Linked DNA regions of Nothobranchius furzeri. The main gene of each other region encodes a partner of the protein of the gene in region 3 in a complex. Links are inferred from orthologs where the notes say so. Each region holds a gene or a part of one and is shown on either strand. Other genes may lie near its edges.

Region 1 (7,685 bases), on a different chromosome or scaffold from region 3:
AATTATTAACCTGTTGATCACGGTGATCTCTGAGAGCTGAATCATACAAATGTCTGTATTTACAAACCTCTGCCATACTAGTTCTTGCCAGTCCGCCATGTTTTTCTGCGTCCAACCGTCCGCGTGGTTAGAAAAATTCCTGGTTGCGCGGTGCGGAAAGTTTGGGCCGTGCAGAGGTGCGGTGGAGGGGCGTGGTTGTCAAAATGACGCAGCTTTCCGCGCGGAGCCGTGAAAACCTAGCGGACGCGTCAAGCATAAACCAACCTTAAGAAGAATGCTATGATGTTAACTGATACATTATGATGTCACAATGCTGTTGTGAGCCTGTGTGTGTGTGTGTATTTGTTAGCGGCTCCGCCCTCTCGGTCTGCTAGGCAACAGCATTTGTTGCATTTGTCAAACAGGAAGTGGGAGTGGAGTAAGACTCTGGTGGGGGTGACTTGCTCTTTAATATTTTTTATAGTTTTCTGTTTTGACTCATTACCTTTATAAGTAACTTATCAGTTAACTGAACAGAAATGTTCTTTAAAATCTAGAATATTTGCTTTTTTAACTCGAACATCTTTTTGGTTTTAAATAGTTATGTTTCATAAATAATTTAGAGGGGTTTGATTCGGCTTACTCAGTAAAATGTTGTTTTTTCCCTTCAGAAAACAAAATGAGATCAACAAGTACATTGAGACCCAGAAGGAAAAGTTCACCCAGCTGGACCTGCAGGATGTTGAAGTGCGTGAGAAGATCAAACACTCCAAGAGCAAGAATAAGACTCTGCAGAAGCAGCTGGAAAAAGACAGAAAAAAGGTGTGTTGGCCTTTAAAATGCTCAGTGGTTTCATTTCCACTTGCTGTGACGGATTTCTACTAGATAAGTGATGTCACTCTGGTATAAATAACCCCGCAGCAACACCGATCAAAGGCACTGAGACACACAAAAAATAAAAAGCAACATTTTTCCCCAAAATCTGTAGCATTAATAAATGTAACATTAGCTGCACTAGCGATAGCAGCAGTGTTAGCTTGTTTTGGGCCAAAAAGAAACTCGAGGAGGAAAAAATAACGTTTGTGCCGTTCTTAGTCTGTTGAGTTTCTAACCAGATTTCTTCAAACCACTTTTGTTGTGAAAATGATGACATTTTTTATTATTTTTGAACAAAAACAATACAAATCAGGGAGAAATGAAGCAGAAATATTAATAAAGGTTTGTTGGTCGGTTTGAAGAAAAGCGTAAAGAAGCCGACGCTTCTGGGATTTTTTTTCTCGATACCATTTTGATCAAAAGCTTCTAGTTTAACTGCTGTGGATGGTTATCGTTTATTAAACAAATATAAAGTATTATCTTTAAGCTCATTGAAATTTAGATTAATGATCCCAGATCTGCACACTATCTGAGCTGAAGTGGAGAACAGGAATGTTTCTTGGTTCAAATCCTTTTATTACGATGTGTCTGATTATGTAAAGATGTTTACAGTTTTGTCTGCTTTTACCATAGAAAATGAATCTTTAATGTAAACTGGCTTCATCCACAGGATGCAGTAACGCCATTTAAATCTGTAGGCCAGCGTTCATGACAGGAAGCTGTCTGACGTAAATGAGCCACTAGGGGGCTCTGAAGCAACACACGGCCAGCTTCAGATGGGTGCTCTCCCAAGGAAAAGATTCATACTTGTGTGTTCCACACGCTCCATAATAAACTGAGAAACACTACTTAAGAGATTTTTCTCTAAGACTTTGTTCTATGGAAGGTTTTTAGTCAGGCAGAGGCAGGCCGACCTCTGGGAGCAGCATTCTGCTGGGTCGTCCACTATGGCCCGGCTCCCTGCAGCCACAAACCCTCAGCTGACCTACAAAGCAGTGGGTTAGCCATGCTAAGCTAAGTCTGAATCAGGGCTAGTTTAGTCCTGGTTGTGTGTGTGTGTGTGTGTGTGTGTTACACCTTTTTTTATTTGCTCACTTTGTTTATTTTTATTTCTACTATATTAGTTTAATCGTGGTTTTTATTTTAATTCCTGCATATTGAAGCCCTGGTCACAGATTTGTTTCCAGCGAGCTAATAGATGGTGATTATTAAGAAAACACGTGTTCCTAAAACATTCGCTGATCGTCAGATGAATGCAGAATGACACGTGTGTGTGTCGTGATTTTCAGTTGTTAGTTTCTAATAGGCCTGCACAATATATCGTAAATAAATCGTTATCGCGATATCAGCATGCACAATATGCATATCGCTAAGAACAGATAAATATACATGGTCAGCTCAAATGTTTGCTACACGTAATGCCTTCTGTCAGTCAAACGTCAGCATGATGTATTTTTAACAAATCAAATGGAGCTCTTCACCCATTTGGCCCGTTGGGTGGGTTCTCATAGGTCAGATGCCCCGCCCCCGAGGCGGACGGCACTTCATTTTGATGGTTAGCAAACACCTGAGTTAGCTTTGTTCTGCTCCTTTTGCTGATTCTGCTTTTCCCGGGATCCACTGATCGCCTTTAGTTCATTTTTTCCCTTTCCTCACATCTTTTGCTTTTCTCATTTTTATGATTTTTTAAATTTCGTTGTTTTTGATTATTTTTGTTCATGAGTTAAGTTTTTATTTACCGCAAATAATATCGTCATTGCAAAATTAATCACTGTTATCAAATGTCGCAGGTTAAAGTTAAAGTCCCATTAGTGTCACACACACAGGTGTGTGTGCGAAATTTGCTCTCCGCATTTGACCCATCCCCTGGGGGAGCGGTGAGCTGCAGACACGGCCGCGCTCGGGAACTATTTGGTGGTTTCACCCCCCCCCGATCCAACCCCTTGATGCTGAGTGTCAAGCAGGGAGGCATTGGGTCCCATTTTTCAAAGTCTTTGGTATGACCCGGCCAGGAATCGAACCCTGATCTCCCAGTCTCAGGGCGGACCCTCTACCACTAGGCCACTGAGCAGGTTTTCCTAATATCGCGCAGCCTTAGTTTCTGACATGTTCCGGTGTTAGAGGTCTTGTGATGCTAGAGGCGTGCCTGCTGTAGCGTGGGACATAATTACGAATGTCAGTCGGACCTCTTTTTGTGCCAAATGATGGAAACACAATTAAAAAGTACGCATCGGTGACAGAATAAAAGTATAAATATGGAAACTGCATCTACGGCTGGGGAAGAAAAACAAATCTTCCTGCTTTAAACTTCTCAGTCTTTATTTGTGACCGAGTGTTTTAGCAGTTGATCGTGAACACGTGTGACCTGTTCCTCATGATATCAGATGCGTCGTCTCTGTTTTTGTTTTTTAGCTGGAGGAAGTGCGCAGTGTACCGGCCAATAGTGAAAACGCCATCACCGAGGCAACGAGCCGCAAGGACGGCCTGGAGAAAGAAAAAACAAAAGAAGAAGAAAAACTGAAAGAAGTGATGGAAAGTCTTAAAGAAGAGACCAGCGGGTTGCAACAGGACAAAGAGGTCGGAGCATGTTCATTATTACTCTTCTTGTTAAACCCAAGCCTTTGTTTGCCGACATCCTCTCCACTCCGGTTCTTTCCAGACAAAAGAGAAGGAACTAATGGAGCTCAGCAAAGCCGTAAACGAGACCCGTTCTTGCGCGGATCTGGCCCAGTCAGAGCTCGACATCTATCTTAGCCGCCACAAAACCGCTGTGACGAACCTCAACGCGGCCAAACAGACGCTTCAAACAACAACCGAGACTCTGCAGGAACGCCGCGCCGCAATCAAAGACCTGGAAGTGCAAATACCCCAGAAGGAGCAGGAACTCAACAAGGTACAGTCGAGGAGCGTTTGTGTGGTGGCTTTTACCCACGAGCTTCTGCTCTGATGAGTTATTTATTCCTGCAGGATCAGGCTGAGCTGGAGCAGCTGATGAAGACGGACAACGAGACCAGGGAAGTAGTGAGGGAACTGAGGCAGAAGGTCGATGAAGCCAAGAGCTCGCTGTCCTCCAACCGCAGCCGAGGGAAAGTTCTGGACGCTCTGATGCAGCTGAAGAAGAGCGGCAGGATTCCTGGCATCTACGGAAGACTGGTAATCAGTTGTTTTTGGCAGCCATCTTGGTTTTAGTCTTTTGGACAAAAATGCATTTTGGTTTTGGTCGAATAAAAATCAAAAAGCTTTTAGTTTTAGAGAATTTAGTCTAACAGATGAATTTATAGGTCACACACGTGCTCTGAGCATCGTTTATATTCGAGCTAAAGGAGATTAGACCATCTCAGCTGTCCAGTAAAACAATCATCTGTTTTATTCTTAATCACTCAGCTGTATCTAATTCATGTAGTGATGCAGATCCGGTCAGGTTGTGTCCTTCATCTGCACCACAGCAGCGTGTAGATGCTCGTGAACATTTAGGTGACCTAGGATAAACAATCCTGACAAACTGACTCTTAAACGTGTTAAAAACCGTCATTTCTCTCATTCATCTACCCCAGAAACATCGCGTTTTCAAGAAGCATGAGTAATAAACGTGTTACTATTACAAATATAAGTAAAAGTAGCCTCATGATCGCTTGTAGCTCTAATTGTTTACTTCCTGAAGCGTCCGTGTTGAGCGATGCGCGTTCCCACTTTTGCAGAGAGGCAGAACGCACGCTCTGCTGCGCGGTGGTGGGACCTGCAGACCCGGGGATCGCAGCAGCAGCGCTGTAACGCTTAGCTTTTGTAAGACGGGCACAAATGTTCATCTAAGCATAACTTTTGTCGAGTTTCATGTTTTAGTCACCAAAGAGCTATTTTTAGCTCGTCTCGTTTTCATTTGGAGAAAAGGAGGCGTCAACAAAACCCTTTAGTCACCGTCGACGAACACGACACAAATTCTGTTTTCAGTATTCACTCACACACACACACACACACACACACACACACAGAGCAGTAAGTACTGTGTTTCTGTGACTGTAGGGAGACCTTGGAGCCATAGATGAGAAGTACGACGTGGCCATCTCCTCTTGTTGTGGCGCTCTGGACAACATCGTGGTGGATACCATCGACACTGCTCAGAAATGCGTCACCTTCCTGAAGGAACAGAACATCGGTGTGGCCACTTTCATCGGTCTAGACAAGGTAAAAAGGTTTTACACCTTCAGTCACAAAGACCGCGACGAAACTTCCTTTGTTCTTCGTGTTCTCAGATGAAGGTGTGGGAGAAGAACATGGCTCCCATTCACACGCCAGAGGACAGCCCTCGCCTGTTCGACATGGTGCGAGTGAACGACGAGGGCGTGAAACCAGCTTTCTACTTCGCCCTGAGGGACACGCTCGTAGCCCAGGACATGGAGCAGGCCACGAGGATGGCGTTCCAGAGGGACAAGCGCTGGAGGGTGGTCACCTTGAAGGGACAGATCATCGAGATGGCCGGTCGGTGTCTTCTGACAGAAGTCTGGATTCATCAGTGAGCTCAAGTCTTTAAGCTTCTTCTGGTGTGTTTCACAGGAACCATGACTGGAGGAGGGCGGGTGCTGAAAGGCCGAATGGGCTCTTCTATTGGTGCTGAGGTCTCTCAGGTGGAGGTGAGTCTACATCGTCACAAATCTCCCAACACTTTGTTTAATCATGATTTATTGCTTTTTAAATCACAAATACTTTAGCTGTGACCCTAACGAACACTCAATATAATCACATAATAAATAACCCGTGCCTGTAAACCGTTACTAGAGCGAAATAAAAAGTTTTATTTATTCTAACGGGTCTTCCAGGCTGTACTGTGAGACCTCTTCAAATGGTCCAGAACGCAGCGGCGCGTCTGGTCTTCAATCAGCCAAAAAGAGCACACGTCACCCCTCTGTTCACTGAGCTCCACTGGCTACCGCTAGCAGCACGCATCAAATTCAAATCGCTAACACTAGCATACAAAGTCCGAGACGGTACGGCTCCCATCTACCTGAATCCTCTTGCAAAGGCTTACGTCTCGGCCCGGCCGCTCCGGTCATCACAGGATCGTCGGCTAGCAGTGCCTACACCACGCTCAGGACAATCCAGACTCTTCTCATGCATCGTTCCACAAATGTGGAATGACCTTCCTAACACTACCAGAACAGGGGCTTCCTTTTCAATTTTCAAGAAACTCCTGAAGACCCTGCTCTTCAGAGAGCATCTTCTAAACTAGCACCCTCCCTGCACCCGCCCCCCCTCTCTACTGTCCACTCCTTGTTCCCTCCTCTCCATGATTGATGTCAAGTTGTTGTTGTTATTGTTGTTGTTGTTAGCCTCAAGGGCAACATGCCGATTATCACTTGTTAAGCCTGATTCATGCCTCTGCGTCTCTGCGGAGACACGCAACGTCCTTGCGGGCCTGCCGGAGAGCTCCGCAAGGACAGACGGAGTCGAGCTCTCTTTTCTAAACATCCGTCCGTCGAGACGGACAACGCAAGCTTGTGATTGGTCAGGGTGCCGCTGTTGTCTACACCGCCGCCATTGCGCCCTCAAAAACAAAGAGAGCCGAGGATAAACTAGCGGCAGACATGGAGCAGCTTGAAGAACACCTCGCGAAAAAACTCTAAAAACATGAACGTTAAATTCTCCCGTGACTGGAGGAGTGAAAAGATGCGCAGCAAGCGTTTTATTTGTGGACGGAAATGACAGGAAACGTGGGTTTAGAGGTGGGGAGCGCATGAAGAGGGGGAGGAGGATGAGGGACAAATTCGTCTGTGTTAAAACGTCTCTTATGTACAAAAAAACCAACATAAACACACATCTTGGACCGATACATGACAGGATACCACAGAACAGCGCTACGCCCCCTGCTGTCCTGCCGGGGAATTGCTTTGCAACACTCCAGGAGACGGAGAAGTATGAGGGGAAAATGCTTCCGTCAATCCGTGCGTGTCTGTCCCTTGCGGAGCTGACGGAGACGCATAAACCAGGCTTAAGTCACTTTGGACAAAAGCGTCTGACAAATACATAAACATAAACGCATAAACATATTTGCAGTTGGACCGAATGGAGAGTAAGCTGAACGAGAAAGCATCAAAGGTGCAGGGCTGCCAAGAGAGAAGGATGCAGCTGGAGGAGAGCATCCAGCGTCTGCGGACGCAGCTCCGAGAGATGAAGAACACTCTGGAGAAATACTCCAAGAGCATGAGTGTAAGAGCTTCACCCACCCAGTTCCCGTCGGTCTCCGATCAGCTCCTCTGCTGTCCGTAGCCGTGAGTACCTCCTGGGTTTAGTAAACGGTGTTTTTCTTCTTCTTGCCTCAGAGTTTAGCCGACCAGGAGACTCACCTGAAGCTTCAGATGAAGGAGCTCGAAGCCAACGTGCTGGCAGCGGCCCCGGACAAGGCCAAACAGAAGCAGCTGGAGAAGAGCCTGGAGGCCTTCAAAAAAGGTAGAACCTTCTCTGAACACGGAGGAGAAACATGACCGACGTATCGTGACACGACTGCAATAATGAAGCGTAACGTGGTTCCGTTAGACTACGAGTCCGCGTCCGGCAAGGCCGAGAAGGTGGAGAACGAGGTGAAAAGGCTCCACAACCTGATTGTAGACATCAATAGCCACAAACTTAAAGCTCAGCAGGACAAGTTGGACAAGGTCAACAAGGAGTTGGACGACTGCTCCTCCATCATAACCAAGGCCAAAGTGGCCATCAAGACAGCTGATCGGTAAGCAGGAAACGCCTGTTCGGGGGGGGGGGGTCTGGGAATAAACCTGGAGTTTATTTAACGTTGGTAAAATGTCTTCTGGCTGTTTACATTTCTGATGTTTTACCGTTTT
Region 2 (7,685 bases), on a different chromosome or scaffold from region 3:
GGGGGTCGTACAGCTCCTTGTGTTTCTCAACTTCCATAATTAATTTAAAGTCATTCATATTAACTGCTTGCCTCAGACTTTCTGCCTCTGTCCCGTTTGCTCCGGTGAAAAGACACCCAAAACCACACCCCCTTCACGTGGTCACACACGCACACAAGTTCGATGTGTGTGTATGTGTGTGTGTGTTCGTGCGGTTTTTCTGCAGTATCTGATTACGAACACATTTGACTATTGCGGAATTTTATTTTGAAATGCTTTATTTTATTAAATTTACCGGCCTGCCTCTATGTCTAGGTTTGAATTCCTGCCAGAATTGACGCGATTCACCCACGGCTCGCGAAAAAATAGAGTAGAAGCCCAAATGATCGCTGCACGGCGCAGGCTGGAGCGCCGGCGCGAGGCGATTCGCGGCGCTTTGGCGGCCCATGTGGTCTATAGAATAGCTTAACAAGGGCGCCGAATGAAGGCGGTCCCATTTTCGCGGCGCTTCCACGGCCGGTGTGTCCCCGGCGTAAAAGAGAAAGTGCCACTGGACAGAATTACAGTCTGCTGTAGCCACGCTGCTACAGGTGTTGTGCAGAGAAAAAGGCGCCTGCCACGGCGCTGCATGCCTGCCCTTTCGAAAGGACGTGCATCACTCAGCTGCAATTTCGTGACGTGAACAATTTGAAATATGAGCAATGATGTTACTTCTGAATATATTCATATTAAAATATTTTTATTTGAACAATAAATGTACTAAATAAGTGAAATTTAAAGGATGTGTTTTCCTTTTTCCTTATTTTGATGCTTTGCTGAAGTATCTGAATGGGACTTGGTACTGGCAGATCAAAGTCAAATTGCTCGGACTCTTATTGGGAGCAAACAAATGTGATGGGAACATCCCTACCAATGATGCAGATCAAGTGTACTAAAACTAGGAAACATCTAAAACATGCTAGGTAGGGGTCGGGCACACTTAACTGAGATGGAAACAAAACATGGCTGACACTCTTACCCTGACGTGGTCAGTGATGCTGCAGATGGTCAGAACCGTGTCTCTTGCTAGAAGGAAGTCTTCAGTCACTTTTTCTCCCAGAGCCACTGAACAAAGTGTGTCCAAGTTACTGAGCACCACCTCTCGCTCCTCCCTGTTACAGTTGCACACAGCATACACACTTAAAAGAACACCACGCTAAAGCTTACATTTTTTATTCCCTAATGACCACATCTTTATGCAAAACCAGGTAATAACACTGCCCTCCATCACCCCATGGACTCCATGCTGGCCTCGCCTGTGTGCCTGGATAATGCACGTAGGAGGGCAAGTTAGGAAAAGCACGGAAGGTTTAATAGGTTATGAGTTCTGCCGATGCTGGATGAGGAAGCAGCAGTGTGGGCAGACTGCAGATACCCTTTACTCTCTAATAGAAAAGGTCCTGGCTAGAAGCCTGGTTATTCGGTCGTGACTTCGATTACAGCGAAGAAGAGCAGAGGCTGGGCTTGTGCTCTGCCTAATGAGGATTTGCTGAATTTTAAGTCGCTGAGGCCGGACTGAAACGGGTTATTATCAAGACAGCAACAGCACCTGATGTAGGTTTTTTCCCTACCAACAGGTAAAAACCAAAGCCTGTGGAATGTGATAAACAGAAATAATGTTCGGTGCCCAGATTAGTTTGTTTAAATGACTAATCAAGTTGGAAATAAAGTAAAGTTACTGATTCTGTCTGTTTAATTCCTTCACTAAAAGTCTTAATTGCCAGAAAGATTTTGTTTTTTATTTTGAAGGAAAAATGTAAAGACCAAGTTCACTGAAAAACTGTTTAGCTTTTTATAAATATGATCGGTGACTGAGTTTGCACGCAGGCTAAACCTGAAAACAGTCTTCTACCCCGCTTTCCTGATTTTAGCCGCCGACAGAAAAGACAGGAAAACACTCAGATCTACGCCGCCCTGTAAATTAGCATTCATGAACTCACCCAGCTTGGCTCGCGACAGGGAGCCGTTGATGACTTAGCATCTCAGCCAGTAGAAGCTAACTGTTAGCATTATCAACTCCACCACACAGCAGAACTCCTTCAGACTTGTTTCATTTGTGAAAACGGAAACATCAACGTTGCAAACAGAGTCAGTTTGCCATGAATAATTCAGCAGCCATGAGTTTGTGAAGGTAAACATCGAAAATAGCTTTAGAGAAAGATTCTGCCCTCAGATTACCAAAGAAGAAACTCATCGTTCACGGAACGGCAAAGAGGGATGGGTGAACTTTTTGCCTTTTGCAAACACACACACACACACACACACACACACACACACACACACACACACACACACACACACACACACACACACACACTGTCAGCATCACCCCAAGAAATGACTCCTCTAAGACTGTAGAGGAATAATTTGGGTTGAGCCAAGTTGCTGTCGGCAGGCCCTTACAGCAGAGCAGAAATCCTCCTCTGCACTACCAAGATTACCCGCCAGTCAAAGCAAAAAGGACCCAGCTCTCGTTCCGTGAGCTCGTATTCGCCTTGGTCTCATCACCGGGCAAAAGGCAAAGGAAACATCAAAAACAAACAACGCTTTCTCAAAGCGGAGCACAGGAGACGCTTGAAAAGCTAATATTTTAGCTTGTAGACTGTAATGAATGAAATTAAACTAGAACCACTTTTTATCCATATGCGAGTCGTGTTGCTGTTAGCCAATCAGAGAAGAGATGTCCGAATAACAGGAAGTAATAAGTAAGAACCTTCACAGACAACAGGAAGTAATATGCCAAAACCTGCTGTCTGCTGCTCCCCTCTCTGCTGGCTGAATTCTACTTGAAACAAGAGCACCAGCTGGAGGATACACTGACCACTTTTCACACTTGACTACTTTCTTCTACAATCTGCTCTTTAACTGTATTATTTTCTGCAATTTCAGCTGTTAACTTTATTTTTTCTCTAAGTGTTTTTTCTTCCCAGAAGAAGCTACAATGATGTTCTGCTGAGCTGTGGTGGCCCCATCGTCTAAAGCCTGATTTATGCTTCTCCGTCTGCGTCAGTGCGGAGCAAACGCAACGCCATTATCCGTCCTTGTGTAGGGCCCCGGCAGGCACGCAAGTACGTACGGAGTCGAGCCCACTTTTTTAAACATCCGTCGAATGAGACGGATTACGCAAGCTTGTGATTGGTCAGGACGCCACTTTTGTTTACAGCGCCGCCATTGCAAAGAGAGCCGAGTTTAACTAGCGGCAGACACGGAGAAGCTTGAAGAATACCTCGCGAAAAAACTCTAAAAATATGAACGTTTAATCCTCCCGTGACTGGAGAAGTGAAAAGATGCGCAGCAAGCGTTTTATTTGTGGACGGAAATGACAGGAAACGTGGGTTTAGAGGTGGGGAGCGCAAGAAGCGGTGGGAGAATGAGAGACAAATATGTCCGTGTTGAAAGTCTCTTATATACACAAAAAACACAATATAAACAAACGATCTTGGACCGATACATGACAGGATACCACAGAACAGCGCTACGCCCTCTGTTGTCCTGCCGGGCAATTGCTTTGCAACACTCTCCAGGAGACGGAGAAGTAAAAGAGCAAAACGCTTCCGTCAATCCGTGCGTGTCTGTCCCTTGCGGAGCTGACGGAGAAGCATAAACCAGGCTTAACACACTGCTGCTAACCACTAAAACATTCTCCCTCTCCTGATAATAACTTTTTGCTTTCCTTGACGTTGGATGTGCTACTACTAGTTTATCCGTTTAATCATAGATCCACTAGGATACATACAATAAAGTGTATCTCTCGCTAAATACAATATTTACTAAGCAATCACAATGTAACCATAGACACATTGCTGTGTGTGTGTGTGTGTGTGTGTGTGTGCGTGCTCGGTCTCCTCCATCCCCAGTGAGTCGTGGAGGATGGCTGCTTATACTGAGCCAGGATCCTCTGGAGGTTTCTTCCTGTTAAAAGGGAGTTTTCCTCTCCACTGTCGCTATATACTTGTTTAGCATGAGGATTGCTGTATAGTCACTGACACTAGTCAGTGACTTGATGCAATTTGCTGGGTTCTTTATATAGGAAACATTATTTCTGATTGGCTTAATGAACTGACCTGAAGTGAAATGTTTACTATGTGAAGTACTTTGAGACAACTCTTGTCGTGATTTGGCGCTTTATAAATAAAATTGAATTGAATCCTTCATTAGCTCTGCTACATGAACAACACATCACACTAAGGTCACAGTGGATGTAGTCACGTTTGACAGTCTGAGCAGACTTAAACAAAACTTTATTTAGATGTTTTGTGTATTGCAGGAGGACAAAAGGCTTCAGGAGTTTACCGTGCAGCCATGCCCAGCAGCAGCACCGCAGCTCTCTTGTGTAAGACCGACGTTTCGCGTTTTCCGGTAAATCTCTCCCACAAGACCTGAATCACCGTGGACTGGAGATTGCTGCCGCTGCCAAAGAACTCCTGCACCTACGGAGACATGAATGCACAGTTACACCATTCCTTATAGGCTTCAAGCGTTTACATTCAAAACATCTCCATAGAAAATCCCTTTAGTGCACACTGTGGAACATTTAGATGCTCCCCAGCATTATGCAAAAATGTGCTTTTATAAGGGTGCAGAAATAAAAAAGATTTAAATGATTCATACGCGAGTAATTATTACTCACTATTTCCTCAAGACACTGGATGGTTCCCAGAGATGCATCCACCATCAGTTCAGAGAGGCTGTCGATGAGAGTCTGGGCTTTCATCCTAACAAAAACACCACACAGACATGGTTCTCACCACGTACTACGTCCTATTTGATTTTCATTTTGGCCCAGATTTTATTCTACATGCTTGCAAAACAATCCAGAAGGCAAACAAAATGTTTACGGGTTTATGTGAAAGGTATAAGAAGTGAAGCCATTAACCAAACCTACTTGTTAAACCCAAGTATGAAGAATGTGAACACAGGGTATCTGCAGGTTTAAGGGAGCCAAATGTAAGACTTTTTAAGGACCCGCAGATACCCTGGAACAGGAACGGAACGGTTTCATCATTAAATAGTGAAAAAGCAGCGGAACAGACCTGATCGTGTCTCCCTGAGGGTTCAGATACAGGCGTCTGTAGGCCTGAACGACGGCGTCTTTAATGGCCGCATCAGTGGACCAGACCAGAGGTAGCATCTTCCTCACGCCGCTAATAGAGTTAGCAACACTGAACTCGCACACAGTCACACAGAACTGCACTGCTTCCTGGACCACTAAGAATAAACAAAAACTAAATCTCAGACTGTGCTACTTCATCTCTAGTACACTGAAATGACAAACGGAGACGTCAGTGGACGAGACCGTCTACCTGAGGTTATTTTCCAGTAGAGCATGTTGTTGATGACAGAAATTGCTCTCTCCACTTGTAAGGCAAAAGTTTCTGTGTCTCTCAAGTACTGCACAAGCATCTCCTGCTTTTTCAGCTCGCCATCCTCCCCCTCTTTCTCTTCCTCTACAGGGGTAGGTGGCAGATTCTGGCTGAGCTCAGAGGAATCTTCACCGGAGCCTGAGGGGAACACCGTGGATTAATTACTGACAGCGGAACCGCGTCAGCTGGCGCGTTAAAATAAACCCTCCACAACATTTACAAGCTTTCTGTAAATCTCACGCTTTTAGATCAAACTAAATACCAGCAGGAAGGAAGTGATCACTCATGTCAAAATAAAAACTCATTTACTTTTATGATCCATAATAACATTACGGCCACCTGGGAAGTCTGGAATGGAAACATTAGCAGAAAGGCTTTAGGGGTCATTGTGGAAGGGTTTCGGACTGAAAGTGGAGTTGGGATGGGGTGAACTCAGACTGTAGGGAGGTACTGCTCTGTGGTGCAGCATGGCAAACGTCAAGGCAACGCCCATAAGGAGAGTACGTCAACTCTTACCCGAGTCGAACTCCACACACACTTCTGGTTTAAAAAAAATGCTCCAAAAGGAGGCGTCGCCTGGCGGAGAGAGCGGTGCTGAGTTGCTAAATTTTGAGGGGGGGCTTTCTCTTTAAAGAAACTTTACGGAGTTTTGAATTTTTATGCTCGTGATTGCCCCCTCAGGCCAAAAGCGTAACGGCAGCTTCAATAGTAGGCTCGTGCACGAGGTGCGCATGCTGTACGTGCACACTCCTTAACGAAAATAACAGCTGAGACAGTCCCTTGTGTGTGATGGTGTGTGTGTGTGTCGGAGGACAGGAGAACATGCAGCTAATTAATTAAATAATTTGGTTCTGTACCTTTCTCTTCAGCACAGCCGACAAAGGTTTAAGATGGGTCAGTCCTCCTGCATGCTCAGATCATTCCCTTCCCTTGCTTGAAAAATTGTTCCAAAATGAAAGTTGAACCCACATCTTTTTTATCTGTGAATTCAATGCCGTTCGGCGAGTCTCAAATAAAAATTTGGGCATCTTACTGTAAAAAAATATACCATTAATGTAAAAAGGAAACTTAAATGAACTATGTTCACAACCAGATTCAAACCCAGGTCTTTTGCATGAGAGTCAGACATCTTACAAGGTGAGCTACACTCTAGTAGCATTCAAGGTATCTGTAACTTTTATACCCTTGATGACACCTGAAATGTCAAACCAAAGAACGGTTTGGAGCGAAAATGGCTATTTTGTTGCTAATTTGCAGGAAATATCTAGAAGAAAGTAACTAAGGGTCCTCAGAAATGTAGCTAGGTTCATCACTAGGCGTTAGGAACAGCGACAAAGTGGCACTACCTCTCTCTCTGCTGCTAAAGCTACGGATAGCAAACGCTACGGGCTATGCCTGAGCGTGAACGTGCATTAAGCAGCCTGCTCGACCCGAGCATCTCTCTTTTTCTGTGATTTTACAGAAAAACAGGCAATCACAGTAAAAATGCCAGGGCTCATTCTACAGGACCAGGGCATTGCAGGAGAATGTATGAAGAAGACATTTATTATTTCTATACATGTTTTAGCTGTCAAACTTCCATAATGCCCCTTTAAATAAGACGAGCACTGATTTATTTCTGCCTGTCGGCCATAATGTTATAATTTATGGGAGCAATTTAAACAAGATTAATTGAACTGACATCTCATCGAGACAAAAACATGCATGAATTAAACTGCTTGCTTGTTTCCGCGGTTACGACTGAACAGTTAGGCACAGTGCTGGTGGACATCTGCGCCGTCTGACTAGATTAGTTTAACCACATCTGTAATTCACTTCATTAAAAAGACAAATATTATAGAAATGTCAACGTAAAAACATTTCATCAACCAAAGCGACCAGGATTACGTTTATTTGGCTAATTTTGCTTCCTCTGAGAACTCCAAGAGATCCATGTTTTACCTTTAAAAATGAACGCCATTGCATCCATCAGATTGTCAGGGGTGAGTGTAGACAAGGAGGCAAACATCTCAGATTCAGGAAAGCTACTGTGAGCTCGTATACACAGCTGAACAGCTTTCCTACAGAAAGATGGAGGTGCACAGATAATCACGTCAAATGTGTGTACGTGTGACATCGTGTGATGCTGGATAACTTTAATAACCCTGATGGGTCTGTTTTCACTCAGGTCTCCACAGGTGATTAGCATTACCTGTATTTGTTGACACGAAGGAACTGAGCTATCCTCAGTGCAGCTGCTCTGTCGTCTTCTGCTGGCTTTTCTTCCTCCGGATCCCCGTCTTCCTCGTCCTCTTGCTCCTCTCT
Region 3 (7,685 bases):
ATTTATCGATTCGTTGTTGCAGCCCTAAACTCATCACTGCACACACATCGATCTGCCTGGCTGCCATGCATCTGCAGAAGTTAGTGATGGCCTGCTTTGTTTGTATGCAGTGCTTTGGGGACTCCTGCTGCTATCCCCAAGCTGTCAAATGCTCAAATTTCAGAGCACTACTCGACCTGCATAAAACTTTCCACTGAGAATGTAAGTATTCAGCCTGGGTGAGTAAAATGATAAATGGCCTGCACTTGTATAGTGCCTTTCTGAGTCAGTGGACTACTAAGCTCTTTACACTACAATGCATCATTCATCCATTCACACCCTGGTGGTGATGAGCTACAATGTAGCACAGCTGCTGAGGGACACACTGACAGGCGAGGCTTTCCAAGCACAGTCGCAGGCAAGGTGGGTTAAGTGTCTTGCCCAAGGACACAACAGCAGCATTCCCTGGCAGAGCTGGGAACGAACCTGCAACCAAATGATTACTGGACAACTCGTTCTAACTCCTGAGCTTCTGCTGCATAAAAATAGTAGCTCAAAAGAAACAAACTCATCATGTAGAGGATGGGATAAAATATCTCCACATTCTGGCATGTTTTAAATAGACATGCACCGATATGGCATTTGGACCAATACCGATATCAATATCACTGTAGTGGCTGATACGATATACTAGGGCTGGGCGATACGGCCTAAAATCAATATCACGATACACTGAGGATTTCACCTCGATAACCATAAATGGACGATAATTACAGGTATGCAGAAACAAAAGTTGTCCACTAGATGGGGCTGTCACATGTATTATATTGAGTCACATGCTTGCATGACTCAATGTGGTACAGCTTCTTAAAGGGACATGAACGTTGCCAACCTACTCACATCTTTTCATTTATTATCAAATTTATCGACATGGGAAAAATGATCTTGATAAGAGTCAGAAGTTTCAATAACAATAAATTTTCGATTTATTGCCCAGCCCTACAATATACTGACATTAATGCTTCTAAAATCTGTAGATTTTTTATAGAATACAAATTATTAAAGCTGAATTTACATCATTAAGTACACACATCACACGCATTTACGCTTCTGCGATGATTAAAATAATTGTCACATGACTAAACAAATACACATCACCCCCTCACGCTGAAACAGATAAACAAATGGAACCAAGATGGGAAAAATATTGGTTGTTAATATCGGCCCAGTTTTATTTATCGGACCGTTACCGATATGTTGAGAAAGGACTAACATCGGCTGATACCGATATTATTGCTGATATATTGTCCGTCCCTAGTTTTAAAAATAATCTTCTCTGGTTCCGACGGTTTTGTAGACTCGCAGCGACTTCTCTGTTTTAAAGACACACTGTTATTCATTCTTTTGGCTAAAAGATGTTTTTGGGATTCACCTTACTGAGACAAAATCAAGTTCCATATTTTGTAGATTCTACTAAAAAGTTATGTGCTTCTGACTGCTAGTAACGAACCGCCACGAAATACAAACTTGTAGTTTTAAGTTTGCATTTAATGTTTTGTTAAATAAAACTTTCACTTTTGAAAATTTGAATGAAGACATTCATCCACTGTATTTCTTTTCCTCCTTTTCTTTCTCTTATTTTGTAGAAAATCACCACAAAAAATGCTTTTGGCTTGCATCTGATTGATTACATGGCCGATATTCTAAAGCAGAAGGATTCTGAACTCACCAACTTCAAGGTTTGGCTCTTTTGGTGACTTCTTTGTTTTCTTTTCATTTTTAACTGGCTGAAATGGCAAAGTCCTATTTCTGATGTTTGATTTTGAAACAAGTTAAGAGTAAAGTGTTTCTCACCCTGTGTATTCTTGAAGAAAATGTTTCGGCCCATTTTGAAGTCCAAAACAACGATCTGAATAAATAACCTAGTTTTGCTGAGAAAGTCTTGGAAAATGTTCATCTACAAATAATTTACCTTTAGCAAAGTATAGCATTGATTTTTCATTAATTTAAATGATAATATCTGTTCATATGATTTGCTAAAATCCATCTAAGCATGGAGAGAAGTGTGAACCGTCTGGATTCAAGAGATGCTGCAGAACTGGGACACGGCTTTCGGATTTGATTTCTGAGTTTTTAACAATGTACCGTAAATCCTCTAATACAGGCCTGTATTCAATTAACGGCCGGGTCTCATATTTTGGCCGGTGTCGGAGTCGGCGGAGGTGAATAATGGCCGGTCTCTTATTGTAGCCGGGTGGAATGTGGTAACAAGCAAGTACCACAGGGGGGCGGTTGTGTCATCGTCTCACTTTTGATTTGCCAGTGATAGACCGCGAGAGTAACTTTAACCGTGCGGAGACGAATAGGAGGCGAAAATTTGATATCAAGTTCAAAGAGAACGTGCTGATTATGCTGCAGAACACTGGGAAGCAGTAGGGGTTGTGTGAACTAGTCGACTTCACTATAGGGACTTTTTATGCCTGTCATCGACTAGTCGCTGTCACGTGATAATGACCGGCAAGCTGCAGCCCTCGGAAAAGACAGCAGCCTGCTGTCAGCAGGTGATAAGCTCCTGCGCTCAGGAGGGCAACGCGCTGTGCCAGAGCGTCGGTACTGACACGCGATCATTCATGTCGGTTCATTTCCTTTAATGTTTTCTGTCTTTTATTTGCGCCTGATGTGTTTCGCTGCTGTGGAGCGGGGCACATCACCTTGTCATCCGACGCACCGATCACTGATGCGGCCGCCAAGCAGCGAGCACCCCGCTGTTGTAGCGGTCGGTAGATCTTTTAGAACTGCAGCTCAAAGGTAACTCATAAGGTGAATATATATGAAGGCAGGTAGCAGTTTTTCTTTAGGATTGAGAGGAGATGCAGGAAGATAATAAACAGATACAGGACAGAAAAACAGTCAAATAAAAACAAGTTAGTTTTTGTACCTGGTGGTTGCAACAAACAGACACCATTGAAGGTAATCAGAAGTGAGGAACAGAAAATGAAATAATTATTTTAATGTTTAGAGCAGCAGGAACTCTGAGAGGCTGCAGGCGCATCAGTGAGTTTGCGGCCGCTGCGCGGGGGGAGGGGGGAGAGGGATGAAGCAGGAACTACCGTTGTTAAAAGAAATGTGTTTAACTTTGAAAATGTGGGCGCAATTTTAATTGTCAAAAACTCCAGCGAACCATTAGTTCATTTTGCTCAAATAGAAATTGAGGCCTGCCTCTAATTCTGGTCCTCCTTCCAATAAAGGCCTGGAGCTTGATGAGCTTGAGTCAAATACAGGCCCGGGCCTGTATTAGAGGATTTACGGTAAACATTATTCTTCAAGCAGAAGCTATGTGAAAACTTGTGTATATGAAGGAAGTCCAATCTCTGTGTGTGTGTGTGTGTGTGTGTGTGTGTGTGTGTGTGTGTGTGTGTGTGTGTGTGTGTGTGTGTGTGTGTGTGTGTGTGTGTGTGTGTGTGTGTGTGTGTGTGTGTGTGTGTGTGTGTGTGTGTGTGTGTGTGTGTGTGTGTGTGTGTGTGTAAGGTGGCAGCTGGCACTCTGGATGCTAGTACAAAGATCTACGCTGTGAGGGTGGATGCTGTTCACGCGGATGCTTACAGAGTGCTGGGTGGTCTAGGAGCCGAAACTAAACCTGGCGAGGGTGAGACGGCGGAGTTGTGTGCTGCTCATAAGCATTAGAGTTCAGCTCAGTATGGAAAAGAGGTTTTCTGACTCAGAACATGTGTTGTCATGAGAAATGGGCATAATTCTAATATGAGGATTAACATAAAACACAGTCGTTTGAGTCAAAGCAGGCAAATCTATTTAAACAGCCCTCTCATTCGTGTTAAAATGCAGAATATAGAGGGCTTTTATTTGTGAAGCAGATTCTGAAGTCCAAAAATCACTTTTCCTCACATTTCAACAAACCGCAAGAAGATAAAGAACGGGGCTGTTATCTTTTAAATAAAGCAACAAACTAGTGTAGGGCAGAGAAAACTAATTCACTTTGTCCAAACATGTTGGCGTGTAATCCCAGATAAATAACAATCACTGTTTTATAGATCAGTGGCAAAAGTTCAGGATTAAAAACTGCAGCAGTTGCCATTAAACCCTTGTGTTGTAGGTTTTCTCCTCTGGGTTAGTCCCAGTCAGGTTTCATTCATTCACAAACAACATTTCCTTCTCTGATCAGTGCAGAAGATCATTTCATAAACGCTGTCTGACACTATAGGACCACTCTGGATCTAAAGTTTTTTTGTGCCACAATTTTAAATGTAGCCAGACAGGTCTGCTCTGCGAACATACGCTCCTGTGTCATGTTGAACTCTGTGCTGGTGCAGGCCGTGGAGCAGAAGAGGACGGAGACGATGCAGCTGCAGAAGGAGAAGGCACCGCCAAGCAGCCAAAGAAAAAGAGACCTCCGAAAAAAACCGTAGAGCAGAACCTGAGCAACATCAACAGCACCGAGTCAGAGAGGAGGTGTGAGGTGTGTTCTGGTCTTTCTACACACACACACACACCACTGCTGCTGCGTTCCGTGTTCCTTCTCTAAGGAAAACTGAAAACTGTTGCAATCTTAATCCTAACTCACCTAAAAGCTAGAACTTTTCTCTTGGGCTGTTTAAAGCCTGGCTTCGGTTTGAGAATCTCCCCAGAAGTGTTGAAATATACAGAATGGGGAAATGGTCCCGTTTCCAGGTGTTCGTGATCTTTTATCTGACTAATAGACCCTTTTACTACCTACGTCATCAAAAGTTGCGCGCGTAGCCTGGCAACGAGAGTGAAGGCTTCCTCATTCACACTCGATACTAAAACAGCGTTTGAAACCTTTTGTTTTGAAGTTCTGAGCACATAAAAATGTCGGGTTGTTGCATGTATGGATGCCAGAATCGCTTCTCTTCAAGCAGTGGACTGAAACTTTACAGAATTCCGAAGGGAGCACATCCATTTCAACAAAATCGGGGGCGTCTGTGGCTGCAGGCCATCAAAAGGGTTGATGAAAACTGGACTGAAAACACGATCCGAAATGCTCGAGTTTGTAGCGCCCATTTTATATCAGGTAAGGTAATTATGTACTAAGGTTACACCAGAAAGCTGGTTAACGTGTGTTCTATTAAATAAAGTAAGATGCGTTTGCTGGTTTGCTTTTAAGCAGTCTATTTATTTACAGGTGAGGTTTTCTGTTTTTCCCATCCTAACACAAAGCTCAACTTTGAATAAAAGTGCTGCTGCGTGGCTGCAGCATGACCCAAGTCTGGAACATCAAAATTACAGAATTAAACACATTTATATGCTTTATTTCATGCTTCAAATTAACATTTCATTCTAACTCATCTGTATTTTCTCACTGCATATTAGTATAAACTGTATTTCTCTAAAATTAACACGATTGTACTCTGAGCATGCTAAAAAAAAGAAACCTATGCTATACTCACCCTGCCATGCAGGTACAGTTGGCTGTGAAGACGTAGTTCTCTGGTGTGTTTACTATGACCCAAGCCTCGTACGTAGCAGTCTTGTGTCCTTGTCTTTGGCTAGGAAGGACTTCTGCCTTCAAGACGCAAAACTCAGAGTCTATGTCATGATATTTTACTTTCTGTACGTGGCCACAGACAACATAGTTGTATGCATCTAACGATTTGTATGCCCGTAGCTTCTCACGTGTGTACTTACTGGGCCTCTCCACTAAAAACGTACATATACCGGGCCACTGGATATCGGGCCACGCACCTACATCTTCCACCCATTCCGTAATGCCACAGGGATCCGGGAGTCTGTTGCCATTCGTTAAAGTGAGTTTAATAATGTAACATTCAAGATTTGCCGGTGATAACCCCGCAGCGTAGCTTTATAAAGCCTGACACAACGACATTCTCTGTTGCCAAGCTGCGCGCGCATTCTCGCTGACGTCATATTGTTTACAAACAGTAAAAGGGTCTATAAAAACCAGGTTTTGTGAAACGAGACTGCTCAGAGGAGCAGACAGTTAAACTCCTGGCCGTTGGAACGGATATGTTATTTCACCAAGTTATTGGTCATTTGATTCATGCAAATGTGTTAATGTCTATGTGCAGGTGGACCCCATGTTTCACCGCATGGCTTCATCCTTCGATGAGACCAGCACAGCAGGGGTGTTTTTGCCGGTTCTCTTCAGTGAGAGCAGTCGCTGTGAGCTGCTCTTTCCCTCCCACCTCACCCTCCTGCAGTCCCGACCGTCCTACTCCCCTCCACCTCCACACAGAGTCCCCGCAGCACCCTTCAAGGGTAAGACGGATCAAAGCCTTCTTGTTGCTTGTACGGTCTAATGTTTGTGCACCAATGTGTCAGATTTGGTTACAAAAGCTTTATGTTGGAATTTCACCAGCTGGACTGCAGCATTCCCAGGAAAAATGCTCCATCTGTCCCTCGCTGCAGGATTTCTCCTTCACCAGCTGGAACCCTGAGCAGGTAAAGAACGGTTGTGATCGATTCTGTCAGAGTTGGCCGTCTCATCTCCACTTGTCCTACTAAAGACTCCATGAATCCGTCTGATTGTTGGGATTTATTTAGTGGGACAGGATAAAAACCGGTTGCTCAGCAGACCAGTACATCACACCAGTCCCCGCTTAAGCTGCCCGTTACCGCTGACTGGGTGGTCTTGGACCACGTGTCCGCGGAGTCTGAACGGCGGTTACAGATTGGTCACTTAATTTAAGGACAATGAAGACCCTTCAAAAGTCTGGTGGCATCTTTCTAGAATAAGTTTTTTAACGCTTTGGGATCTGGATAGCATGGCTTTACGTTCCGCCTCTCCAGACGCATCATTTCCGGTTTATGTCGAGTCAAGCTAAGCTGCCAGGTCCAGCTGAGTAAGAAGATTCTTGGCAGACAGAAAAAGTTGGGAGTGTTTTATTTGTGTTTTCCTGTTTTTAATTAGAGACGCTTCATAAACGACATGGTGTCTCATAAAGGGTTAGAGTCATTTACAGGGTATCCGCGGGTCCTTACAAAGTCTTAAATTTGCTTTTCTAAATTTAAGGCCTTAAAAATTACAAATAATCCTTAAATACAGTTTCCAAAGGTCTTAGATTACCAAAGACCCTATGAACAAGAATTTCTAGTTAGTTCAGCATTTTTTGTGTACGATGTTGGCGTAAGCGTAACCGTACACATTCAGTTGGTTGTGAAAGGGGGCTATTTTTAGATGAGCACATTAGCTGGTTAAGCTAGTGGGAGCTTGCGCCATGGGGAAGTGCAAGTTTAATGGTAACTGGGTGGCTAATCCCACGTTCGTGACGTGGTTAGCACCGGTTCCAGGCAATAGCTGGAAAATATAGCTTAAAATTAATTTAAAAAATAGCTTAAATTTGGTCAAAGTGGCCTTAAAAAAGGTCTTAAAAAGTCTTAAATGTGGCTCCCTTAAACCTGCAGATACCCTGCATTTACTTTGACTCATTTTCATAAGTTTTGCTTTGGTTCACGTTTTATTTGCTAAGTAGATTTTTTCCTGTTATCTTCTAGAATCACAGCTACAGGTATATTGTGACAAAGACTCAATAGGAGGTCTAAAGGTGTTGAATTGTACGTGGAGGCCATTGCTGTTGTGTTTCCTCTTGAGATCTCCTCACCCTCCAGACGCTGCTGCCCCGTGCTCCATCCTTTGTTGTTGTTTCTCTGACTCCAGACGATGAATCAGCTCTTGGAGAAGATGAAACAGGGCGACCATGTGTTTGATGTGA

The links. Proteins that work in one complex are often made in the same cells at the same time.
Region 1: ncaph (region 3) and smc4 share a complex: the UniProt entries of both Homo sapiens proteins name them as parts of the condensin complex. The link is inferred for Nothobranchius furzeri from reciprocal best matches to the Homo sapiens genes NCAPH and SMC4.
Region 2: ncaph (region 3) and ncapd2 share a complex: the UniProt entries of both Homo sapiens proteins name them as parts of the condensin complex. The link is inferred for Nothobranchius furzeri from reciprocal best matches to the Homo sapiens genes NCAPH and NCAPD2.

Annotation. Positions count from the first base shown.
Region 1 is NC_091753.1:52,613,039-52,620,723, forward strand, and holds part of smc4 (structural maintenance of chromosomes protein 4), read left to right. Parts: intron 1-650; coding exon 651-801; intron 802-3,267; coding exon 3,268-3,432; intron 3,433-3,514; coding exon 3,515-3,748; intron 3,749-3,822; coding exon 3,823-4,008; intron 4,009-4,875; coding exon 4,876-5,037; intron 5,038-5,105; coding exon 5,106-5,331; intron 5,332-5,406; coding exon 5,407-5,483; intron 5,484-6,903; coding exon 6,904-7,056; intron 7,057-7,169; coding exon 7,170-7,296; intron 7,297-7,383; coding exon 7,384-7,573; intron 7,574-7,685. UniProt on the Homo sapiens protein: Central component of the condensin complex, a complex required for conversion of interphase chromatin into mitotic-like condense chromosomes.
Region 2 is NC_091745.1:73,741,754-73,749,438, reverse strand, and holds part of ncapd2 (condensin complex subunit 1), read right to left. Parts: coding exon 7,573-7,685; intron 7,442-7,572; coding exon 7,323-7,441; intron 5,520-7,322; coding exon 5,322-5,519; intron 5,227-5,321; coding exon 5,052-5,226; intron 4,734-5,051; coding exon 4,649-4,733; intron 4,449-4,648; coding exon 4,312-4,448; intron 2,532-4,311; exon of another isoform or gene 2,183-2,531; intron 1,131-2,182; coding exon 998-1,130; intron 1-997. UniProt on the Homo sapiens protein: Regulatory subunit of the condensin complex, a complex required for conversion of interphase chromatin into mitotic-like condense chromosomes.
Region 3 is NC_091757.1:27,688,617-27,696,301, forward strand, and holds part of ncaph (condensin complex subunit 2), read left to right. Parts: intron 1-110; coding exon 111-201; intron 202-1,625; coding exon 1,626-1,718; intron 1,719-3,507; coding exon 3,508-3,625; intron 3,626-4,307; coding exon 4,308-4,453; intron 4,454-6,041; coding exon 6,042-6,231; intron 6,232-6,331; coding exon 6,332-6,414; intron 6,415-7,630; coding exon 7,631-7,685. UniProt on the Homo sapiens protein: Regulatory subunit of the condensin complex, a complex required for conversion of interphase chromatin into mitotic-like condense chromosomes.